3 linked regions of the Schizosaccharomyces pombe genome follow. The protein of the gene in region 1 binds, or shares a complex with, the protein of each later gene. Each region holds a gene or a part of one and is shown on either strand. Other genes may lie near its edges.

Evidence for each region.
Region 2: mrpl19 (region 1) and mrpl39 share a complex: the UniProt entries of both Schizosaccharomyces pombe proteins name them as parts of the mitochondrial large ribosomal subunit.
Region 3: mrpl19 (region 1) and mrx14 share a complex: the UniProt entries of both Schizosaccharomyces pombe proteins name them as parts of the mitochondrial large ribosomal subunit.

Annotation. Positions count from the first base shown.
Region 1 is NC_003424.3:3,205,341-3,208,342, forward strand, and holds mrpl19 (mitochondrial 54S ribosomal protein uL11m), read right to left. Parts: upstream 1,201-3,002; 5' UTR 1,195-1,200; coding exon 760-1,194; 3' UTR 622-759; downstream 1-621. Other genes in the region: npt1 (nicotinate phosphoribosyltransferase), read left to right, coding at 1-253; cytochrome c oxidase assembly protein Cox16, read left to right, coding at 2,180-2,410, 2,530-2,640. UniProt on the Schizosaccharomyces pombe protein: Component of the mitochondrial ribosome (mitoribosome), a dedicated translation machinery responsible for the synthesis of mitochondrial genome-encoded proteins, including at least some of the essential transmembrane subunits of the mitochondrial respiratory chain.
Region 2 is NC_003423.3:2,700,196-2,703,819, forward strand, and holds mrpl39 (mitochondrial ribosomal protein subunit bL33m), read right to left. Parts: upstream 1,557-3,624; 5' UTR 1,055-1,556; coding exon 1,032-1,054; exon of another isoform or gene 981-1,031; coding exon 879-980; exon of another isoform or gene 848-878; intron 821-847; coding exon 778-820; 3' UTR 540-777; downstream 1-539. Other genes in the region: ATP-dependent RNA helicase Mak5, read right to left, coding at 9-164. UniProt on the Schizosaccharomyces pombe protein: Component of the mitochondrial ribosome (mitoribosome), a dedicated translation machinery responsible for the synthesis of mitochondrial genome-encoded proteins, including at least some of the essential transmembrane subunits of the mitochondrial respiratory chain.
Region 3 is NC_003423.3:3,803,061-3,806,821, forward strand, and holds mrx14 (mitochondrial 54S ribosomal protein bL34m), read right to left. Parts: upstream 1,969-3,761; 5' UTR 1,842-1,968; coding exon 1,515-1,841; 3' UTR 1,271-1,514; downstream 1-1,270. Other genes in the region: cqd1 (ABC1 kinase family protein ), read left to right, coding at 1-1,270; U2 snRNP-associated protein Sap62, read left to right, coding at 2,742-2,867, 3,184-3,625, 3,689-3,761. UniProt on the Schizosaccharomyces pombe protein: Component of the mitochondrial ribosome (mitoribosome), a dedicated translation machinery responsible for the synthesis of mitochondrial genome-encoded proteins, including at least some of the essential transmembrane subunits of the mitochondrial respiratory chain.

The sequences.
Region 1 (3,002 bases):
ATGTATCGAACTGTACAAATACTGCGAGAAATGTGGCATTAAGTCTGCATTTGGCATCGGCACAAATCTTACCAGCGACTTCCAAAAAGTTTCCAATCCCAGTGAAGTGAGCAAACCTATGAATATTGTTATTAAGCTTTTTTCCGCTGAAGGAACTAAAGCAGTGAAGATTAGTGACGATATCATGAAAAATACTGGTGATCGTGATGCTGTTATTCAAGCCAAGCATCAATTATGCCTCCCTATAGCATAAGCCATTTCTTTTATTTTCGAGCGTTTCTGCAGTACTAATCTTGGTTTTTTTTTTCTTATTTTTTGATAGATAGACAGAGTTTGAGGCTCTCTTTTATTGAGCTGCATTTCATAAGGCGTGACTTAGAGTAAACATAAAACTCACACTTGAAAATCTTCATTTTCTTTTCTGCTTAGCATATCTGTTTCGTTATCTATATTGATAGTTTAATGCTAAAGGTAATCATTTAGTCTAAGATGTGTTTGTAAACTAACGGTATGCAATTCTTTAATTTTATATGGCAAACGTGTTTTTTTACTTTGCTTGTTTAACGAAGGAATAATATAAAACAACTAAGAAAAGGAGAAAATAAGAAAACAGGGACAACGTTTTAGTCGGTAATAGTAAAAAGTCATATCATTAACTGCTTTTATTCAAGAAAAAAGAGGGGAATAGTTTATAACAAGATAGAAAAAAAAATAACCTCAAGTATGACCAGTTACAAAATGCTCTGGCGTCTCATAAGATTAAGGTACGACTTTGACGCCCATGCTTTTAGCTGTTCCAATGACACTTTTACAAAGAGAAAGAAGCTCTATTCCTTGTAAGCTTGGATCAGTACTTTTCAATTTGGCAATTTCATATATATGCTTCAAGCTTAATTGTCCCTTTATATCATGTAATGGGGAACTTGAACCTTTTTCAAGGTCGAGGGTTTTAGAGATTAACCAACTGGTTGGAGGAGTATGTATAGTGAAAGTAAATGTTCTTTGAGGTGTGACAGTAATTTTACAAGGCACTGGGGTATTTGGCATCCAACCTGCCGTCCGCGCATTAAATTCTTTACAAAAGTCTATGCTCTTCAACCCGCGAGCACCAAGGGCAGGTCCAATTGGAGGCGTAGGCGTAGCTTTTCCTGCCGGTACAATTAATTTTATGATTGTCGTTCTAGTAGAAGCCATAAGGTTAAAGAAGAAAATACAGTTGTAAGTTGTATGTCTCTCATGCAATAAAGTAACATGTTCTTCCTTAAAAATAATTGTAATTAGAATAATAACTAATTTGAAATATTTGGGTGAATTAATTGTAATGTGTTTACTTATTTGTAATATTAAAGCTTTTAATAGCAGTCAGAAAAATTCCCGAATAGACCAAATGTGTCCTTCTCTTCTGCTTGATTGAATAGAAGTAAAAGTATTGACATTAAATAGGCAACTCAGATAAATGGAAAAGACGTTTTCATAAACGTTGTTCGTTTTAGGATTTTTTTGAAAAATTTTAGTTGATTTTTGAATCTCAAATACGGATTAGTTAAAATGTCGCAAAATTTTTCATTTGTTGAACAACAATAGCGCTGAATTGAAGCCGTTTAAAAGAAGCAAACCAAAATTTAGCTACATAGCTTTTCAAAGTTAACTCCTTACTATCAATTAATATATTAAGTTTTTAGGGATTGGCAAATATCCTAACTAAAAAGCATGATTATTTCATTTGAATCACAAGCTGAAATTAAATGGTCTTTTCTCAGCTATTTTATTACTTTCAATAAACATTTTACATACCATTTTATGGTAAACAAAGTAAAACACATGTTTACTGGAAGTCACAGTCTGTCACTAGCACATGCCATCGATATGTTTCTTTTTCCTAATGTGTATTGTAATTAAAACTATAAAGGGTTTTCACCTGAAGTGCTTGGGCTATGTAGGAATGCTGTCACGCGATGCAGCTTGAATAATTAGTAGAAATAAAAAGATTTCAAAGTGCAGATTTCTATTAAAACTCTACTCTTAAAATTAATTATTACAAACCAACGACTATCTTATTAATTTCCATCCTAACATGCTGAGTGAAGTTTGCCATAATCATCTTAACCAACTTGCTATTTACTACACATTCTTAACAATCCATCGTTTTCAGCGAATGTAAGGATGTTAATAAATTAAAATGCTTTTCTATCGATTTAAAAGTTGGTATAGGCTTCAAGCCAAGAAAAGTCCGTTTATTTACGTTGGATTGCCGTTTTTGAGCTCAGTATTATTAGTCTGGTCATGCTTGATCCCCATTTCCCAAGTCAAATTTAACAGACGAGATGAACAAGTTAAATCCTTGTCCCGGGATGCAGAGTTAGACATTATTAAAAGAAGAAGAAAGGTCGACGTTAATGAAGAATATTATGTAAGTAAAGTGCTGATCTTGTTTTACAATATTTAAGTTTTGGCAACCAGCTGCAAAGTGCATTTGCTTTTCGTGAATTTACATTCACCAGTTCCTTTTTTATTAACCACCTGTTATAGAGGATCTTATTAGATCAGTTGAATCTACAGAACGAGGAGTACGAAAATAAACGTGTAAAGAGGTTAAAAGGGGAGCCTACATGGGAAGGAAATTCAAGCGATAAAGAATGAATAATGAACGATTTTATTGTTATTTTGTTCCTTTATTTTATTATTAATTATGGAGTATTGAAAAGGATACAAGTTTTTGAAGTGAGAATGCTGAAGACGACTTTATGATACAGAGTGTTTTAGCATATGGAAATACTCAAATAAATAAAGCAAGAATTTTTTTTTCTAACATGAGAATAATATTTATGTGGCTCATATATAATTATCTTCAATTTAAAGGACCAAATACTTACACTTAAGCATATTCAGTAGAATAAACTTTCAATGAAGATATTTGAGCGTAAATTTCACTATGAATATGTCACTCAAGCCTAAAAGCGTTTTAATAATAGGAGCATTCAGAAAGGTTTCTTTACTAGTAA
Region 2 (3,624 bases), on another chromosome or scaffold:
AATTATACCTCATAAATTACTTCTTTCATAGCACCTTTTGGCTGATATTTGATATCCACACCTTCAATCTCTTCCAAGCCCATAAACCCATCGAAGTCGTCTAGGTGGTCAGGAAGCTTGACTTCCTTCCATTTAAGCTCGTCCAATGCAGCTTTCTTTGGCATCGTGATCAAAGCGTTGAAAAGTGTAGTAGTTTGCTCCACATAGAAAATGTAGGTAGACAAAAATTTACACTAAGAATTGGAACGAGGGAATAAAAATAATTGCATCGTATAAGCTAATAGAAAACAAATAATTAAATGTTACGAAGACATTAAACGACGATTGGTTTTAGCAATTCAATGCTTTGCCATGTTTTGCATAATTTCTAAATAGTACAACCATTTTGTATTAAAAATATTGCTTGAGAATTTTAGAATCGAATGATCTGAGCTACAGTGCTTACAAGAGTAGTAAACACAAACGATGTTACTACTATAGTTCTAATTCGGCTAGCAATTGGTACAGGTGAAAGGAACATTCTTATTACTTTGAAAATTTGACATCTCAGTCCTTCTCTTAAATAATAATAATAAAAATAGGAATTATAGATATGACAGAATAATATAAGGGTCTTTATGTTCACGCAGCTGTTTAGAATTATGTCGTATAAGATGTAGGTTGGGAAGCTAATACATAATTAATGCACATCCATAAAGTTTTTGAAGAAAAAAGGTAGATTGATCGGTCATAATTTAGCATTTCATTTTCAGACTATCATTGAAATGGAAGAAGTTTTTATTTCATTTTGGATTCTTCGAAAAGTACTCTTTTGTGAATTCTATGGGTTCATTCATTAGCTTCTTAAATGAGGCTTTAGAAAATCCATAATAACTTACTTGGGATCATATTTTATAAAAGCAAGCTTAGGAGCAGCTTTTGGACGTGAACGAACGTAGAAAAATCCAGTGCCAGCGGTGGACAATAATTTTACAAGCAAACTGAAAAATAAATGTTAAAAATGCGCATTAAATTAAGCATGTATGTCTTACCGAGCTTTATTCTTTTTAGCCATTCTGGATATACGTACAGTGCAAGCGGTAAGTTAAAGGTTTTGTAGTTACACCAGGGTTTGTGGGCGAGCTCTTTTAACTTGATGGATAACTTGCAGTCAGAAATGTAAAATTGAAAGTTTGCAATTCAAAGATATTGTTTTGAGTAATGAGAAAGCCTTTTTGCAATCCAATTTTTATTAAATTTGGTTGTGTACAATCGAGGCTTTTCAATAGGTTATTTTTTTGTTTTAGGTAGACTATAGAACTATTAGTAAAGATAAAAGGCTCATCAATGAATTACTTGTTTTGAAAAAAAGCATTTAGATTTGAAATTCTAATTGAGAAACATGCATGACGGCACTTAAGAACGAAAGACGAACAGTAAGAATAAAAAAATTAGAAAGAATTTTTGAATAAAAATAAAATAAAATAAAAAATAAAAAAATGTTAATAAGGAAAGTATAACAAATTGAGTCTGCTGCGTCTCTTCTCCTGATGTCTGCCAATTTAACAGAGAGGAATAATTAACAAACTATAAGTAATCTTATAAATAGAAGTTGCTGTTCTATTAACATTCGAAGAAAAAATATGAAGTGATGAACAACTCTTGAAAAATTCTTTTTTTTTATTACAATTATTATTGTTTTTTAATTATTGGCTGTAGATGGGTATTTAATTAAAGTCCAATCGCGTCTTTGCCAATTTATAATCTTATTTGTATTTCTACATTTTTTTTGGAAAGAATGATATTCAAATGAAAGAACCAATTTTCTTTCAGGAAAAATTCTTTTAGTTAAAATGACATGTACTAGATGAATTAGGACGTTAAGAATGAACTAATTGCAATAGCATAGTTTGCTAGCGTGAAAAAAAAACACAGATGGAAATTAGCGAGCCTAGTAAAGAAACATTTATGACGAGGTGGTTCTAAAAAGCCTTTCGTGTATATATATATATATATTCGGCTCTAAACAAACGCAAGCTTTAAGTATCATTGTAACTGTAAATTATTGGCAATACTGAAAGTATAAGACGATCCTCAAGTTGTAAGCAAACCTAATTCATTTGCTGTACCAAGACTAGGATGGATGAGTTACAAGTCACTTTAAGTGTTTATGGGTCCAAAGAGAATATAAAATGTGTTTTCCCAATTTTACAAGGGTTAGCCAAATAAAGAATGCAAATGAACAAATCGCATGAATTGCGGAAGCTAGTGACATTGTATGACGATCTGCCCGAAATCCCAAGTCCGTATCTCATCCGCGAAATTGAGACATATCACGATGCATACGGAGAAAATCTATACAACGCAAGTATAGCCGCACCCAAAGACGGATATAGAATAGACTGGAGAAGGCTACATCCCTCGGATATGGAGACTGAATGAAAGAATTGAGAGAGTATTTAAAGCTCATTAAGTGCAATGTTTACGATTGTTATTACGGTTCTACATGGTCAATAGTATGGGAAATTTTAAAATAAACATTTTTCCTGGTTGTGAAAATGATGGAGAGAAGCAACGAAAATATCTTTAACTGATGCTTTATATATGTAGAATAAAAATTGAGTTGGAAATTACAGCAGGGATAGTAAACAAGTCAAGGATATGTTACAGTTGTCATTAGAATAACAAAAGGTTTAATAACTATCTTTTAAAGAGGATTTGACATTGTACTAAGGGCTGAGACAACTCGCATTAAATAAGCAAAGGCTGAATTAAGTAAAAGAATATTCGCACTTAATAGAGGAATACTATGTTAAATATAGGATGGATTTGCTGTGTATATATAAAATTATTATCCTCTTATATATACATATAATTATCGTTAATTATTATTTATATTTTATTTTATTTTCTTATCTTTTCCTTGGTTTTTATGTATTTACTAGTAAATCTATAATAATCATTAACTTTAATAACTTTCTTCAACTGATCAATTTCCCAACCAAAATGCTTTGTTATTTGTTCTTTAAGCTTGCTATGTTCTTTAGCTGCGTGTCTATCATCTCTTCTTGTTTGGCTTGGCACGTGCCATTTTACCATTTCTTGCTTCCTCCTACCTTTTAGGCCTTAATATTAACCCCCTGGGTCATCTTTTGGCATATAGGGTAAAGGGGCCAAACTCACTATCCAAGATAAGTCTAAGTATGCAACTGTTAACATTTCAGTTAAGCACGTTGTCTCCTATAAGCAAGTATAACGTAGTTTAAAAAGAACGTTAAGTTAATTAGTCTGCACATAATACAAACATGGGATAGTGAGACAATATCGTCTGTTAGAGTAAATTTTCCTTTCTTGAAAGATTTTCCATTTTTGTGCATGAAAAGGCGTAATTTAAGATCATGCGATGGGTAGTACAGGTCAAATTGATAAACCGACTTTTACCAGTTTGTGCTATCAGATCTCACACTGTGCTCTCCTTCCGTCGCATTATTTTGTTATTTTTTGAGCTGAGTATTCCCGTAATCCAAGGACAAGCGTCAGGGTGTGTACGATAGTTGATCTGTTTAATAAAGAAACATATTATTAGAAAAATTAGGAATCATCAGGAAATCAACAAGTTCCAAAATGGGTCTTTGCTCCCCAAGT
Region 3 (3,761 bases), on another chromosome or scaffold:
TATAGGTGTTGGAGCAATTGCTCAAGTCTATACGGCTACCATCAAGAAAGCAGCTACGCAGCAAGATAATTCCTACTTTACAAGTATGCTACAATCTATAGGGTTTCGACAGAAAAATATCTCTGATGCGCCAGTGACTCAAGATGTAGCCATTAAAGTTTTGCACCCGAATGTTGAAAAATACATTTCTTTAGACTTACAAATCTTAGGTTTCTTCGCAAAATTAATTAATTTGGTACCTTCAATGAAGTGGCTTTCTCTGCCCGACGAAGTTAAGGTATTTGGGGCAATGTTAAACCAGCAATTGAATTTACATTATGAGGCGCTTCATCTCAACCAGTTCCGTCTTAACTTTAGAGGAAATAGATATGTTGAATTTCCAGCTCCCTATGATGATTACACGACTAATCAAATCCTACTAGAAGACTATATGCCGGGTATCCCATTAAGCGCGTTCCTCAAACATAAGTCAGGACCATTTAACAAGTTGTTAGCTAACACAGGAAATAATGCATTATTTCAAATGCTTATTGTTGACAACTTTACACATGCTGATCTTCATCCGGGTAATGTCCTTGTTAAATTTTACAAAGGAATCCCTAAAACAATCTTTAATCAAGATAATGAGATTAATGACTCAATTTATAAAATTCTAAGTACATGTTCGACGGAGGAATGGGATTCTGCTATGGAAGAATTAAACATCTTGGGCTATCGACCGACTTTAGTATTTTTGGATGCTGGATTAGTAACGAAACTTAGTACGCAGGATCAGAAAAATTTTTTGGATCTGTTTCAAGCCGTACTTACTTTCCATGGCTATGAGGCTGGACTGTTGATGGTTGAAAGGAGCAGGCAGACAGAACGCGTTATAAACAAAGACATATTTGCTCTTAAAATGGAACATTTGTTGAATGAAATTCAAAAGAGCACGCTTTCACTGAAATCACTTCAAATAGGAACTATATTACAAGAAGTAATGACTATGGCGAGAGAGCATCATGTTCGAATTGAAGCAAATTTCGCAAATACTGTGCTATCTATCCTTTTAGTTGAAGGCGCTGGACGCCAACTATATCCAGAAATGGATCTATTAAGTAATGCTACACCATATCTTCGTTCTGCTTCATCGAAATCCAATGTCTCACTCACAAACCCAATGGTTCAATTATGGATAGCTTTAGAAGCTAGACAATTTTTGCTTTTAAGCACCTCTAAAGAAACGGTAGAAAAGTGGGTTAAGTCCGATATGATCGCACCCAATATATAAAAAAATTACGGTTTATTTTATAAATGATGGAAAATTGTTCATGAAAAATATAGTCGCAGACATGGAAAATAAATTTTATAAACTCGTGTTTTAAAGAAGTTATTAAAGTTCAAAGTTCAACAAGTAAAATTAAACAAAGAACCAATGGAAAGAAAATGTATCACAAACTAGAAAGCATTACTTAAATGAAGAATTGATAGAGGTTACTAATGCAAATTAGAGCCCATTAAAAGATAATATGTACTCAATGGCTCAGATACATCCTCCCTTTTTGTCTTCGATCTCGTAAAACACGACGACCGTTAACAGAACGAATTCGAGATAAAAATCCGTGTTTTCTTTTACGCTTTCTATTTGAGGGTTGATACTCGTTTCCATACGTTTTCCAACGCACTTGCTGCATTTGACCGAAGATGTTCATAGTCGGTAAAGAACTGTATAAAGTAGCGGTATTAAAAGGGTTTCTTGTCGGAAACCCTCTCATAGTTCCTCCTCCAGCTAATATTGAAATATTCCTGGCTCCCTTCATGGCAGGATGCAACAAATTTCGAAATTGTTGCATAAACATCATAAAGCAATAGGAATGAAAGCAGGTGACTGGATTTCAAGAGAAAAAATTTCAAAAAATAATATAAAAATTATATATGAACGTAAATGTGCAAAATGAAGAGATTTGAGATGTGATGGAGTAGCTGGTTATTAGAAAGGTTGAAGTGAATCAGTGTAGCACCGTTTGACATTCGAAGTGTTAAATTTCAAATATTTGTGTTACAATAAATTAAAATCTTTGCTAAAATCCAATAACTACGTTTTAATAGTTTCATTCAATTCACTGGAATGTCGGTAATATAATAATAATACTATTATTATTAATAAATAGTTCATTAACCATTCTTTATACGCCCTTAAAGAAAGCAACCTGAACCCCTAAAATTTGATATCGCTTTTGCTTTTTCCCAACAAATAATTGGCATGAGATTACCAAATAGTAAAATCCATCAGTTTAATGAATTCGATTCATGGGCTAAAAGTGATAATTTATAGTACAAAAAAGGTTTTAGCAGTTAAATGACATCTTATACTTTCTTTTATCTATTTTATTTTATTAATAATACCCAGTATTTTAAATTGGAAGCAAATTGCTGCAGTCCCGGCTTTTTAAATATTGAAAGCATATTAAATATACTCATATATGGGAGCATCAATACATTAAATTTATCAAAAGTTATTATTTTTTTTTGTTTTTACGTGACATAATAAAATGGAGAAAAGGAGCTCTAATCTGCTATTTAAAATATTTGTTAAAAAAAAGGCATCGACGATGAGAATTTAGCGTATTGTTCTGCATTGCGATATTTCTTTAAACATAGGGGTTCACGAAAGTACAGCCTCTGCCACCGTCTTTTAGGGGACTTTATTGTCATTGTGAAAGTACAGAAAAATAAGTGTTGGATTTTCTAGGAACTAAAAAATGGATTATCAAAACCGCGCAGGTGTTCGTTTTGGAGGAGGAGGCGTTGCTGGCTATCAAGAAACAAATGCTGCACGTAGAGAGCGTCTTCGTAAATTGGCGCTAGAAACCATTGATTTATCAAAGGTATGTTTAAAAACCACTGAATTCTGAAAATTTGAGTGCTGAATGTCAATTATAATTACCGATGAATTAATCGTGTAAAGTAAGACATGTACGTATGTTACATATTATTGAAGTTTATTAGTAGTTGCTGTTAAATTCGCTAACTATAACAACTAAAATAACAACAATAATAAATGAAAAGGATTTGCTTTCTACTTCCTTGTTTGCTGTTTTGCATGTTACACTAATTGGACATCTTTTTTTTACCCTGTCAATCACCTTGAAGCTTCCTCCTCAAACTCTTTGCGATGATATTTCTATTGCTAATCTCTTATAGGATCCATATTTGATGAAAAATCATTTAGGCACTTTTGAATGTCGTCTTTGCCTCACTACACATGCGAATGAAAACTCTTACCTTACCCATACACAAGGTAAAAAACACCAGACAAATTTAGCCAGGAGACAGGCTCTCGAAAATAAAAAGTCTCAAGAGAATGCACCACAAGTGTTGTTGGGCATTTCTCAATCCCATGTCCAGGTTAAAAAAAGTGTCGTAAAAATTGGTCGACCCGGTTATAAAGTGTCCAAAATAAGAGAAGCCGAAAGCGGAAAATTTGGCCTACGTTTCCAAATAAAGTATCCAGATATTGAAGTGAACGCTAAGCCAAGATACAGAATTATGAGTGCTTATGAACAGCGTGTTGAAGCTCCTGACCGAAAGTTTCAGTATCTGGTAGTGGCTGCTGAACCATACGAATCAATAGCCTTTAAAATTGGTATGTTGGTTTTACTGATTTTTTATTTATATTAACTTTGTTGCGCAGATGCTCACGAAATAGATCGTGCACCCGGGAAATTTTGGAGTTATTGGGATGCACCTACATATACTATCCAATTCTTTTACAACTTAAC